Linked DNA regions of Drosophila melanogaster. The protein of the gene in region 1 purifies or fractionates together with the protein of each later gene. This does not show direct contact. Each region holds a gene or a part of one and is shown in the gene's direction. Other genes may lie near its edges.

Region 1 (5,557 bases):
ATTAAATTTGGTTAACAATTGTACACATGTATAAAAATGGAATATTTTCAACTGCTGAGTAAGCTCGAAATTCTCACAGCTCCAGAATCTCGGTGAGAATGCGTTGCGTATCCTTGGGAGTATATACCCTATGGCTGATGGTTCGAGGATCGCTATAGATCTCATAGTCATTGCCGCCCGGCTCCGTTTTATCGCCAAAGAAGTGGATTTCCTTGAACTTGTAGTGCGCTTCGATGTGTCGCAGGCAGTAGGTCTTGTCCCAACCATGCGGGAAGACATCGAAGCTGATCTGACCACCAATCGAGTACGTGAGATCCACATCGGCAAACTCCTGCTTCAGGTCCTTGATCATTTTCTCGCGCACCTTGTGCTCAATGTCGTACTCGGCGAACATGTTGCGCTCCTCCCGAGTGCACTGCCTGCCAATGGGACAAACGTTCATCATGCCATTCCGGAATTCGATAAAGGTGCCCCTCTTGATGGGCACATCCAGTTCGGACAGATAGCGCAGCACAAAGTTGATGAAACGCTTCACCGTCTCCTCGCCCAAATGCATGATGATATTCTGCTTTCCCACCTCCTTTCCGCCCTCAATCTGCACCAGCCCATTTTCCGGGAATATGAAGTCGAACTCGTTGAGTATCTTCCTGCCATTCAGCTGCTCGAACATCTTCTCCAGATCCGAGCCTCCGACGATTCCGATGGTCGCCCTCGGCTTAACCCGCGAGTAGAAGAACTCCTCGAACTCCGGAGTGACCACGGATCTGGGCATCGTTAACGTGCCGTCCACGTCGAAGAGCAGCAGGATTTCATCACGCTTCAATGCGGCGGTGGTCATTTTGCATTTAAATTTTGTGGTAAATCAGCAGGTGTTTAATATCCAGATATTTATGTCCACGTATGATTCGAGATAAAGAATTTTACAAGCGGCAACGCAGTGGTGAGAAATCCCCTAAAGCTTTCGATGCACCGGCAAGGGGAACCAGTTCCGGAATCCAAGTGCAATCAAAATTAATGTTTTGAATTGCCTTTTACGTTAGGTTTACTATTTAAAACAATGAGAGTATAAACATTCAAGCACAATCATTTGGATTTTCCTGCATGTATAGGTAACAGTTTAATTCATGGAGTTCATGCTGTCAGGGTACAAATAGTTTCTATTTTAATAGCAATTTGTACATTGCAGTTCTTTATCAGGCAAACTAGAATACACATATTTGGGTTCTTAAGTGTAGCATAACAGGGGGTTCTACTGCCTTTTAATGTGCTGCAGTTCATCTCTCTTGATTTTGCTGTATTCCTGCAGGGTTTTGTATTTCTCAGTGTTAACCATGGGGTCCACAATGACGGGGTATAGGGTGAGGCCCACGGCGCCCACGATGCAGGACACGAATCCAACGAATCTCCAACCACGCAGGACTGCCATTTAGCTAAAATATGGAATATTTTAGCTGACTTTTCGGTTTGTTATTATAAAACACAAAACACCTGGTTGACCGTAAGATGCTAGAAAACGCCAAGTGTGTGGTCACACTACTGTGGTCACCGGTGAAGTGCAGTAAATACTACAGAAGAGATAACCTGATAGAAAGTAAAATATAAATAAACAAGATTACTGTATATATAATAAAAATAGATATAGGTATAGATTAAACTAGAAATATCCTGAATGCTAAATATGTTTCTTGATTCATATCTCACTTAAGCATTCTCCACTGTGTGTACCTGTTGGTATTTTTTGAAATCATGTCTATTTCTGCCCGCTCTGGTTACACTGGCTTCCTTGAGCTGGGCTTGGGTGTGGTGTTTTGTTTGAGTAATTGTTTTTGCAGATAGATCTTTTTAGTTAATACACTTATTAATATTCTTATATCCCGAATATGGCTAGCAGCCTCGTTTTTGTGGCTCTAGTCGGCGCCTTATGTTTTACGCTCGCTAACGGTAAGTTGCGGCTGGAATACGAAAGTCGCCCATTTCTAGGGCGTTGGCATGAGTTAAAACCACGATTTTGCAGCACAACATCACTACGATGAGCACAAGACCACACGGATGGTGTGGTGCACCAAGAGCCAGGCGGAGCAGTACAAATGCCAGAACCTTACGGTGGCCATCGAGCGGGATCGGGCACTATTCGACGAGGTGTTCCTCAATCTCACCTGCTTCATGGCCTACAGTGCGGATGAGTGCATCCATCACATTGATCGCGAGAAGGCACACATCACCACGCTGGATGCGGGCGATGTCTTCACTGCTGGACGGTACAACTCCCTCATACCCATTATGCAGGAGAAACTGGAGGGCGGCTTTGCGGACTATCAATCCGTAGCCGTGATCAAGAAGGGATCTCTACCAGACTTGAACAATCTGCGCGACATGCGCAACAAGAGGGTGTGCTTCCCCTGGGTGGGCAGCTTGGCCGGTTGGATTGTGCCCATTCACACGGTGAGTAGAACTCCTCTTTTAAGTTGATTGTTTATTTGTTTCATTAGGCAACTAACAAACAAATTTTATCGTTTTGCAGCTCCAAAGGGAGGGCGGCATGGAAGTGGTGGACTGCAACAACCAGGTGAAGACGGCCGCCAGCTATTTCAATAATTCGTGTGCTGTGTACTCGCTTTCCGACAAACACAATCCAATTGGCGACAACTCCGATAAGTAATGACGCATAAAAGCCACAATTTTACACACATTAACTAACAACAAATCAATTTTCAAACCAGACTTTGTACGCTTTGCACTGGAAAGATACCCGGAGGACGCTGCTCATCTGCAGATCCCTACTTCGGCTACGAAGGCGCCTTCAAATGTCTGCTTGAAAAAGGAGATGTTGCCTTCTTGCGCCATTCGACTGTGAATGAAATGCTGCAAACCACCGAATTCAGTGAGTTACCAAAGGGAAACTTCTGAAAACCCATTACTGATCTAAGCTGCGTTTTTTAGAGAACATAGCACCCGACACTTTTGAGCTGCTGTGTCGTGATGGTCGTCGTGCCTCCATCAACGATTATCGCCAGTGTAATTGGGGCCAAGTGCCCGCCGATGCCATTGTCACATCTTCGGCTCGCAGCTTCAGCGATCGCAAGCAGTATCAGCAGTTTTTGAAGCGCATTGCCGAGCTGTACTCCGATGGCACACGTGATGATCAGAGCAGGCAGGGAGGACAAAGCTTCAACAGCCGCAACAACATCAACGATCAGAATGCCTATGGCCAGTTCGATAATAATGATCCGTACAGAACGCAGAATCAATACGATCAGTATCGCAGCGAACGATTGGACAGCAGTTTTGCAGAGGAAAGAAACCAGCAGGACGGCACGAACACTTCCATACTCTATGAGAAGTTCCGCATCTTCGAGTCGAAGCGCTATGGCAAGCCAAATTTGCTGTTCCAGGTAAGTGGATCATATTTTCCGTGATCCGAAATACATACTTAACATTCAATTGTTTTGTGACAGGATTCTAGTCGCGCTCTAACCGTGATTCCCGAAGATGATCAGTCATTTACCAAGTACCTAGGCCCTGCCATTAACTTTATCTACGGCATCCGTGAGTGTCCAGTTCCAGCGATGACGCTTTGCGTGACTTCGGAGAATGAGCTTGATAAATGCATCAAGATGAGGGTGAGTTGAAGAGTGAATATATGGATAGCAAGATGAGTTGATGATCCTTTACAAAAACACTTTTAGACTGCCTTGAAAGCTCACCTCCTGAAACCAGAACTCATCTGCAAGAAAATGCACTCCCACATCAACTGCATGCAGTTCATCGAAGCGGGCAAAGCAGACATCTCCGTTTTCGATGCCGGCGATGTCTACACTGGTGGCCTCAACTACGACCTGGTGCCCTTCATGTCGGAGGTGTACAATCTGGGCGAGCCCGAGTATTATGTGGTTGCCGTGGCCAAGGAGGATGATCCCGATACGGAGCTAACTTACCTGAAGGGTAAGAATACCTGCCATACGGGCATTAACACCGCCGCTGGCTGGACATATCCGATGGCGCTTTTCATCTCGAACGGCTGGATTCGTCCCTACGGATGCGATTCGGTTCGAGCTGCCGCGGAGTACTTCACCAAGTCGTGCGTGCCGGGTGCCATTAGCAATGAGTACAACACCGGTGTGCCCTACGACAGCATGTGCGATCTGTGTCATGGAACTAGCTATCGCTATTGTCGTCGCGATGCCTCCGAGGAATACTACGGGCACACGGGTGCATTCCGTTGCCTCGTCGAGGGCGGCGGTCACGTGGCCTTCATGAAGCACACCACGGTGATGGAAAGCACGGGCGGCAAACGCAAGGAATGGTGGGCCAGGAATGCCCTAAACGATGACTTTGAGCTGCTCTGCACGGATGGTACTCGTGCCGAGATCCAGGACTACAAGCGCTGCAATCTGGGCAAGGTTAAGGCCAATGCTGTGGTCACCCGCGGCGGAGTCAACTACAACGAGACCCAGATGAATGCCTACATCAATCTGCTGACCTATGCCCAACAACTGTACGGTCGCAAGGAAGTGGACGCCTTCAGTTTCAGCATGTTCTCCTCGCCGATCGGGCACTATGATCTGATCTTCCAGGACGCCACGCGGCAGCTGCAAGTAATTCCGCCCAATAAGCGCAGGTATGATGCCTATTTGGGCAGCGATTTTATGCGAGCACGCCGCATCACCGACTGCTATGCTGGTGCCTCCCAGTTGGCATTATCCGTGGGCCTGCTCCTCGTGGGTTCGCTGGTTGCAATGCTCTAAGCCACTAGACTCACTTAGATTTCAGAATTCTACAAGCATCTCTAGCACAAAGAGAAAACATATCAACATTTTTACATTCCAAATATGATTAAGTTAAATGTGAAATCCCTTCCGTCCGAAAATGAAACTCTAACTAGCCGAAAAATATCTGTTGAAGGCTATAGTTTATAATTTATAAAGTCCTGTGCCTTATTATAGTATTTGTTTGTGTACATACCAACTAAGACCGTCCAAAAAATGTACCTAGGAGATGTAAGCCGAATCTTTTACAACCGCTTATGTAAGTATACAAATAAAATAACTAGATAAAGGAGTTATTTTGCTTATTTTGAATTAGTATCATTTGAAGAATCCTAATATCTTGACCGCAATTGTAGCCGCCAAATTCAAATTGAATATGTGCGCTAACATCGCTTTGAAACATAGATGTTATTGAAATTTACGCTGGTAAATATTGCATTTAACCTTAAAACACTCTGTATTGTTTATAAAGCCAGTAAAATGTTTGAAATTAAAGAAAATAGCGTAGTTACAAGTTTCAGCGCAGTGTGACCGCTTGGCCGCATAAGCAAGGGTGGAACAGTGCCGCGAAACGACGGTCACACCCGCCTGCACACATCTGTGGAATTGTTAAATTTCGAAAGTCCGGAAAAACCGGACGGAACCTTTCACCTCGCTCTGGACCAGTGGCACCGCCCTCGAGTATCGCAAGATGTCTATTAACCTGCGCACCGTCTACGCCTTCGCCCGCGAGATGTACCCAAAGACCTCCAAGGAGACCATCCAATATGGAACAGCTGGCTTTCGCGGCA
Region 2 (7,726 bases), on another chromosome or scaffold:
AGTACCGGGCTGGTAAGAAAGAAGAGTAGGTAACCAAATTAGATCACTAATCTTATTCGCACTTCAAGGCAAGGATGTTCCCGAGTGCAAGACCATCGACGACGTGTGGCGCGCTAAGTACCTGTACGATTCGGCGTTCCATCCAGAGACCGGGGAGAAGCAGATAGTCATCGGGCGCATGGCTGCGCAGATGCCCATGAACACAATCATCACCGGCGGTGCGTATTAGCGACTTTTTCGGTGCTCAATTGACGTCAAATAAACTATGTGCTTCCGCACTGCTGATTAATCGACTACAATAATAGCTAAATCACATTCCAGGCATGATGGCCTTCTACAAAAGCACTCCCGCCGTCGTCTTCTGGCAGTGGTTCAATCAGACATTCAACGCCATTGTTAACTACACGAACCGTTCGGGAACCTCGCCCATCAGCCAGCAGTAGGTACCTCCTTCCAGCCGCAGTCCCCGACACTAACTTCACCGATTTCGTCCCCTGTTCAGGCAACTAGTTACCTCGTACTGTTTGGCCACTAGCGGAGCCCTGGTCACGGCCCTTTCCCTGAACCACGCAGTGAAGAACATGAATCCGCTCTTGGGTCGCCTTGTCCCCCTAGTGGCAGTTGGAGCTGCCAACTGCATCAACATCCCCTGCATGCGAATGCAGTAAGTTAAATTTGTATTAAAGAAGCTCTTTCCTCTATACATTTTGTTTTTAGTAAAATTATGAAATAGGCCTGATTCGATTAGAGCAGCTCTGCTACAATTTTAGAGAGATAATTTTACCAGCATTTTATTAATTTATTCATATTTTATTAAAGCTGTTTACCGAATTTACGCTACTTCGGCCGTTCGTAAAACAGTGAATTAATTATGTATATAATATTCCTCTTTTACAGAGAGCTGCGCAACGGAGTGACGCTTTTCGATGAACACAGCAACGAAATGGGCATCTCAAAGAAGGCGGCCGTTGTTGGGATCTCAACCGTAATCCTAAGTCGAATCGCCATGGCCATACCGGGAATGAGTACGTCTCCTGGACATCCTTGCGCACAAAAGTGTAACAACTTACGATACTTACGCTATTCTCAATTTCAGCACTGACACCGGTGTTGATGAATGTCCTCGAAAAGAGGGGATTCCTGGCTAAATACCCGCGATCCAACGCTCCCATCCAAACGCTCTTCTGCGGCTTCGTGCTGATTTTCGCCACGCCCCTTGGCTGCGCCTTCTTCAAGCAGCGAGCGGACATCAAAGTGGATAGCCTGGAGTCGGAGGTCCGCGACAGCATTAGGAAGAAGCGTCCGGAATTGGAAACTGTCTGGTTCAACAAGGGACTGTGAGGCCCTATGCCATTTACGAGCTTAACGGAGACAATACTGCTCGATTGAGCAACTATTTATTTCCCTTCTTGCATTTATTGGCATTTTGCCTGTTGACTTCTGTTCGAAATACTCCTGATATTAGCCTGACCGCATATGCTTACCGTTCACAGCAAGCGACACGTCAGTGAATCAAATTTACAGTGTATATTATAGTGATTGTGTAAAAGTGAAAATGTATGAAACAAAAATATATCTGTTAACTGTTATCTGAACTCAGTTTCAAATGGCCCGCGCACACTATTTATTCGAATGGCGATTACAGCGGGATATCGACTATGCATATCGATGCCTCTATCGCACCATCGATGGCAGCGTAGCCCACAGTCGTGGCTTGCGCATATCTAATTGCTGGTCGACTCAGCTTCTGGACTGTTTTGTTTTTATTTAATTAAACTATAATTTAAAAAGCTGTAAATTGCCTCTGATACTTATTTTGTCCGGATCCGCACAACTCGTGGTTTTTTTTTTTGTCAGCAGGAACACCTCGCAGTGGTAGCGTTTTCAACCGTTCGTGTGCTGCGTCCTGGAGTCGTAATTAAGGTGTGGTTAAGTGTTTGCCTATGCGACCAATTAGTTTTGCCAGCACGGGCTACTTGGATTGAGCCCCCTTCTTTAGTCAGTTAAAACTGTCCTTGTTCAATAGGAAACACAACTAAAGTGTGCTTGAATAATCTAAAAAGTCAGTTGATCGAAGATCAATCGCGGCTTACGACCACGCCTAATCACATATACACACACACATACACATATGTACATTTGTATATACGCGTGCTGACACATCGTATCACAAATTTGAATGACCTGCGATCGACAAATCTGTTTACATTCAATTTGTTTATGCCATAAGAGGGGCAAAATAAACAAGAACATTCTTTCGTTCTGCTTTCAGAAACTATCGAATTCCAGAGCAAAATGTGCCTTTAGTCTGCTGCGAGACATCTAAACCAGAACCCACGCTATTAAAGCTAAGGACCAACTATGCTAGCAAAAATCGGCCTTCTGGCGAGTATTCTTGTGCTCAACTTAGTTGGCCAGATCACGCCCCAATTTTCCGAAAACCTGCCGGATCCGGATCCGCAGTCGGGACAGCAGCCTCAGAACTATCAGCCTAGCTACAACAAGGATTACTCTCCGCGATACAACCCCCTGTATACTGGACAGCAAAGCGCTGACCCCAACCAGTTCGACAATACGCTGGTCGACGGACAGAGCCCTAATACCTACAAGGGGTACTATGATGGCAGGGCAGGAGGTGGGGGCCTTGGCGGCAATGTAGTCGGGCCTGGAAACAACCTCGGCGGACTCGGCCCACAGTACGACCCCTTTAATCGGAACAGCATAGGTTCAGCAGGTGTCAGCTACCGGGACGCCTATACGGATGAAGATAACTTTTGCCCGGAGCACTGGGTCTCGTTCAGACAGACGTGCTATCGCTTCATCCGCTCGCCCAAGCGCAACTGGGCAGAGGCTAAAAAGATCTGCAAGGCACACAATGCCGACCTGATAAACGTGGATAATGTAGAGAAGCACTCGTTTATACTCAAGAATCTCATCCTGCAGAATCAACGGCAGAACCGATTCTTCATCTCCGCCCGGCAAACGGGCCCGTTGAATTGGGTCAACGATGACAACACCCAGTTAGTCCAGATCGAAGACTCCTTTTCCATGGACGAGCAAGTGCCCTTGGAAAACGAAGATCTGCACGACAATAGATTCCTTGTGCAAAACGACCTCAACAACCAAAATATCAATAATCCAAATCAGTTTTACAACTCTCTTCCGGGGACTGTTAATCAGCGCAATCAAAATAACCTTCGCGGCTTTATAGGCAAGTTTCACTATTTAAAATTGTCGATTTGCTAAACATCGTTTCCTTACAGGTCCCAACCAGCCGTATGGAGACAACCGATATGTGCGCGATCGCGTTGTGTACGCCTTCTCAAAGAAAAGGGATCGGTGGATGTTCATGCCAGCCTATGAAATTGAACTAAATCTCTTTATATGCGAGTCAAAAGTACTATACAGCTCAGACAATGTCAACATAAAGTTAGACGACAAGCGTCCCTACCATTATGGACTCGATATAAACGACATGGAACGGATTCCACGGGGTCCTTATTTCGTAAAGCAGCCAAACGACACGACTTTCGATGTGAACAAGAATCGCCTGATTAATGATGTTACTCTTAGCTGTTTGGCCAACGGGTATCCAACACCTTCATACACATGGTACCGAGAGGTATACGTAGACGACAGACTCGAGTACCAAAAGATTGATCCCCTGGCGCAGGATCGATACACCATATCAGGAGGCAACCTGATTATCTACGAGCCGAAGCAAGCGCTGGACCAGGGCGCGTATCATTGTGTGGCAGAAAACAAATTTGGGCGAATTCGATCCGAAAGCGCGCATTTAAACTTCGGTTTCATTATGGAATTCAATCTAAAACGGTCTGCGGAGACAAGCGAGATGAATTGGGGCAAATCCATATTCTGTGACCCCCCGCAGCACTATCCCGACGTACGCTATTACTGGGCTCGAGACTATTTTCCTAACTTCGTGGAGGAAGATCAACGCGTATTCGTCTCCCGCGATGGTGCCCTATACTTCTCCTTCATAGAAACTGTGGACAGAGCCAACTACTCGTGCACCGTACAGACCCTTGTGTCGGACACCGGTCGCAACGGACCCTTCTTTCCGTTGCGCGTTACCCCCAACAGCAACTATCAAGCACTGATATTTGCCAACACCTTCCCTAAAGTCTTTCCGGAGGCGCCAGTGGCAGGTGACGAGATTCGGCTGGAGTGCATGGCCTTCGGTTACCCCATTCCGTCATACAATTGGACCCGCCAAGGCCTACCTCTCCAACGCAACGCCTACACGATCAACTATGGGCGTGTCTTAATAATCCAAAATGCGACAACGAACGACAACGGCGAGTACTCCTGCACGATTACCAATCCCCGGAAGACACTTATGAAGAGCATATACATCAATATTCAAATGCGCCCACAATTTACCATACCTCTTAAAGACATGATAAAAGACTACAACAGTGACGTGACTTTCATTTGCGAGGCATTTGCAATTCCGGACGCGAATTACACGTGGTACAAAAATGCCGAACGACTCGACCCAGCGAATATTAATCGCGACCGATACATTATCCAAGACAATGTGTTAACCATTAAATTTCTAGAAAAGGATAAAGACGACGCAATGTACCAATGTGGTGCCCAAAACCAACTGAAGACCTCCTTCTCTTCGGCGCAGCTCCGAGTGCTGTCTATGAAACCGTCCTTTAAAAAGCATCCCCTTGAATCTGAAGTCTATGCTGTTTACAACGGCAATACGACAATTGTGTGCGACCCGGAAGCCGCTCCACGCCCTAAGTTTCAATGGAAGAAGGATGGACAGGTGATTGGCTCGGGAGGCCACCGGCGCATTCTGCCCAGTGGTACCCTGACAATATCACCCACGTCGCGGGACGATGAGGGCATTTACACATGTATTGCATCAAACCAAGCCGGCACCGACGAATCGCACGCGCGTGTTATTGTATTGCGTAAGTAGAAAATGTCATTCATATGCAATATACATTTTTTTTAAAAAGTAATTTTATTTTGTCAAAAAACCTACTTGTGTTTCCTCAATTGGATGCAAAATGATTTTATTTAAAAAAGTTAATTTATATATAGTTTATAAATAATATATATTTACTTTGATAAAACGCATTGTTTAGAGAACTTTTTTAAAATTGTTTTTAATGCACCTATCTTTGTTATTGTCTGAGTAGCATAGTAAGAGTAAAATGACTAATACATAATAAACTAATTTAGTATTTAAATACTTGAAATTTTATCAAGACTTATGTAAACCTATTTATTCAAATATTTACAGAGGAAATTCGTTTCATTGAAACGCCTCCACAACGAATCGTTTCTAAGGAACACGACTTAATCTTCTTGCATTGCGAGGCCGCCTTTGATGAACTCCTCGACATTGCTTATGTTTGGAAACACAACGGCGAAGTCCTAAAAAACAATCACGACGGCACCGGACGCATTGTAAGTTAATGTTCTGAAATCTGCACTAAACCTGTCCTTATATTAACCTTTTTGTTATTGCAGATTGTAGATTGGAACAGATTGACAGTGCATAACACGAGCATGCGCGATGCCGGGGACTACGAATGCGTTGTCAAGTCGGCGGTAAACGAAATTAGCAGCAAGACCAGTGTTTCTATTGAGGGAGCTCCTGGCGCTCCTGGTGGTGTTCAAGTCATACAGATAAGTAAAACGAAGGCCATCATTGAGTGGGTGGACGGATCGCACAACGGTCGTGCGATCCGCTACTACAACATCCTAGGCCGTACAAACTGGAATCGCACCTGGGTTAATGTGTCGACCCATGTGCAGGCGCGAGAAGTAGATCGATACACCTCTCGCCAGCAAGCCGAGGTTGTCAATCTGACGCCGTGGTCGGCTTACGAATTTAGTGTTACTGCTGTAAACGATCTGGGAATCGGAACGCCCTCGGCCCCCTCGCCAATTTACAGCACCTATGAGGACAAACCATACATAGCCCCGAGGAACGTGGGTGGTGGAGGTGGAAAGATTGGCGACCTAACTATCACCTGGGATCCGCTTCTACCGCAAGAGCAGCATAGCCACGGCATACACTATAAAGTGTTTTGGAAGCTCAAGGGAGCCATTGAATGGGCATCTGACGAAATAAAAAAACAGGATCACATGGGCGTGGCTGTGGTTAATATTCCTCTTAATAACTACTATACGGAGTACGAAGTCAAAGTCCAAGCCATTAACAGTGTTGGCAAGGGACCGGAGAGTGAAATAGCTGTCATACACTCCGCTGAGGACATGCCACAGGTGGCTCCTCAAAAGCCCATTGCGCTCGCCTACAACTCCACATGCTTTAATGTCACTTGGCAACCTATAGACATGTCCCGTGAAAACATTCGTGGCAAACTCATTGGCCACAGGGTATGGTTACTGCACTTAATTCCATTGCATTGTCAAAAACCCTTATCTTTCACCAGTTGAAGTATTGGAAAACGACGCACCAGGAAGAAGACTCGGTATACTACCTGTCACGTACTACAAGGAATTGGGCGCTTATCGTAGGTCTACAACCAGATACTTACTACTTTGTTAAAGTCATGGCTTACAATGCTGCAGGTGAAGGACCTGAAAGCGAACGCTTTGAAGGTGTGTAACGAACAGTTTAAAAAACCATTTAAAGAAAATGCTTAAACACCATGCTTTTTAGAACGAACATATAGAAAGGCCCCGCAAAAGCCGCCATCTTCGGTTCACGTGTATGGAATAAACCCGTCTACCGTGCGGGTTGTTTGGAGATATGTTTCACCTTCGCAAGACGAGGAACCAGTAGAGGGTTATAAGGTACAACTCCCGGCACCGTGACCAAGAAAATCGATTACAGTTTGAAACTTTCTAGGTTCGCATTTGGGAATCGGACCAGAACATGATTACGGCCAACAATACCATAGTGCCAATCGGACAGAAACTGGAGTCGTACATCAACAATCTGACGCCAGGGAAGAGTTACAACATGCGAGTCCTCGCATACAGCAATGGAGGAGACGGTCGCATGTCCAGTCCAACTTTACACTTCCAGATGGGCAAGACCACGCGCAACGGCGCAAATACCCGACATGGCCACAATATCAATACGGCTCTTATCTTAAGCACATTGCTACTCATTAGCACCTTTCTTTACACAAGCCAATGAATGCAGCACAAATTAAGATCCATAACTTTAGGCAGTAAGAACATACATATACTAAGAAGTGACCTTATATTTGAGTAAGTGAAGTTATAAAAAGAACTACATTCCATCCGTGCTCTCTTGCAAGCCCCTTAATTGATACAAATGCAATTCCGTCCATTTTATAGACTTTTATCAAAAAATAATTTCTAAAATTTTATCAACAAAATAAATATGAATACCATTATATGGTCCAGTATGTTGCTGAACTAAAAATAACAATATCCCTATTTTTTTACTTGGAATAATGAATTATGAATTAATTATGAACGTGTGCCCCGGTTGGCCATATTTATGTCCCTTTTTGTTCACCTGGTAATACTACTCCTGCATTTTATACCCGATACTCGTGAAGTAAAAGGGTATACCAGACTAGTTAAAAAATATGTAGCAGGTAGAAGAGGTCTTGATCAGGATCGATCTGGCCATGTCCGTCCCTATGGACGTCGAGATCTCAGAAACTATCACAAATCAAAATTAATTATTGTCCAAAAATATCAAAAAGAACTAAGAACTAAGTGTTTATTTTTGGTT

What was found. The genes of interacting proteins can lie anywhere in the genome.
Region 2: the proteins of Tsf2 (region 1) and Cont purify together in Drosophila melanogaster (affinity purification with western blotting, with the first as the bait; one study listed by BioGRID). This does not show direct contact.

The regions. Positions count from the first base shown.
Region 1 is NT_037436.4:12,529,936-12,535,492, reverse strand, and holds Tsf2 (transferrin 2), read left to right. Parts: upstream 1-1,768; 5' UTR 1,769-1,880; coding exon 1,881-1,941; intron 1,942-2,014; coding exon 2,015-2,442; intron 2,443-2,521; coding exon 2,522-2,655; intron 2,656-2,720; coding exon 2,721-2,881; intron 2,882-2,940; coding exon 2,941-3,392; intron 3,393-3,455; coding exon 3,456-3,620; intron 3,621-3,686; coding exon 3,687-4,745; 3' UTR 4,746-5,057; downstream 5,058-5,557. Other genes in the region: Pmm2 (phosphomannomutase type 2), read right to left, coding at 74-838; CG34242 (uncharacterized protein), read right to left, coding at 1,250-1,426; nst (nesthocker), read left to right, coding at 5,458-5,557. UniProt on the Drosophila melanogaster protein: Iron-binding protein and component of septate junctions that form the paracellular permeability barrier in epithelial tissues.
Region 2 is NT_033777.3:4,379,607-4,387,332, forward strand, and holds Cont (contactin), read left to right. Parts: upstream 1-1,699; 5' UTR 1,700-1,923; intron 1,924-2,272; 5' UTR 2,273-2,361; coding exon 2,362-3,211; intron 3,212-3,263; coding exon 3,264-4,949; intron 4,950-5,284; coding exon 5,285-5,451; intron 5,452-5,514; coding exon 5,515-6,387; intron 6,388-6,443; coding exon 6,444-6,612; intron 6,613-6,673; coding exon 6,674-6,807; intron 6,808-6,862; coding exon 6,863-7,156; 3' UTR 7,157-7,412; downstream 7,413-7,726. Other genes in the region: Sfxn1-3 (sideroflexin 1/3), read left to right, coding at 1-12, 69-218, 322-439, 503-664, 898-1,025, 1,097-1,341. UniProt on the Drosophila melanogaster protein: Required for organization of septate junctions and paracellular barrier functions.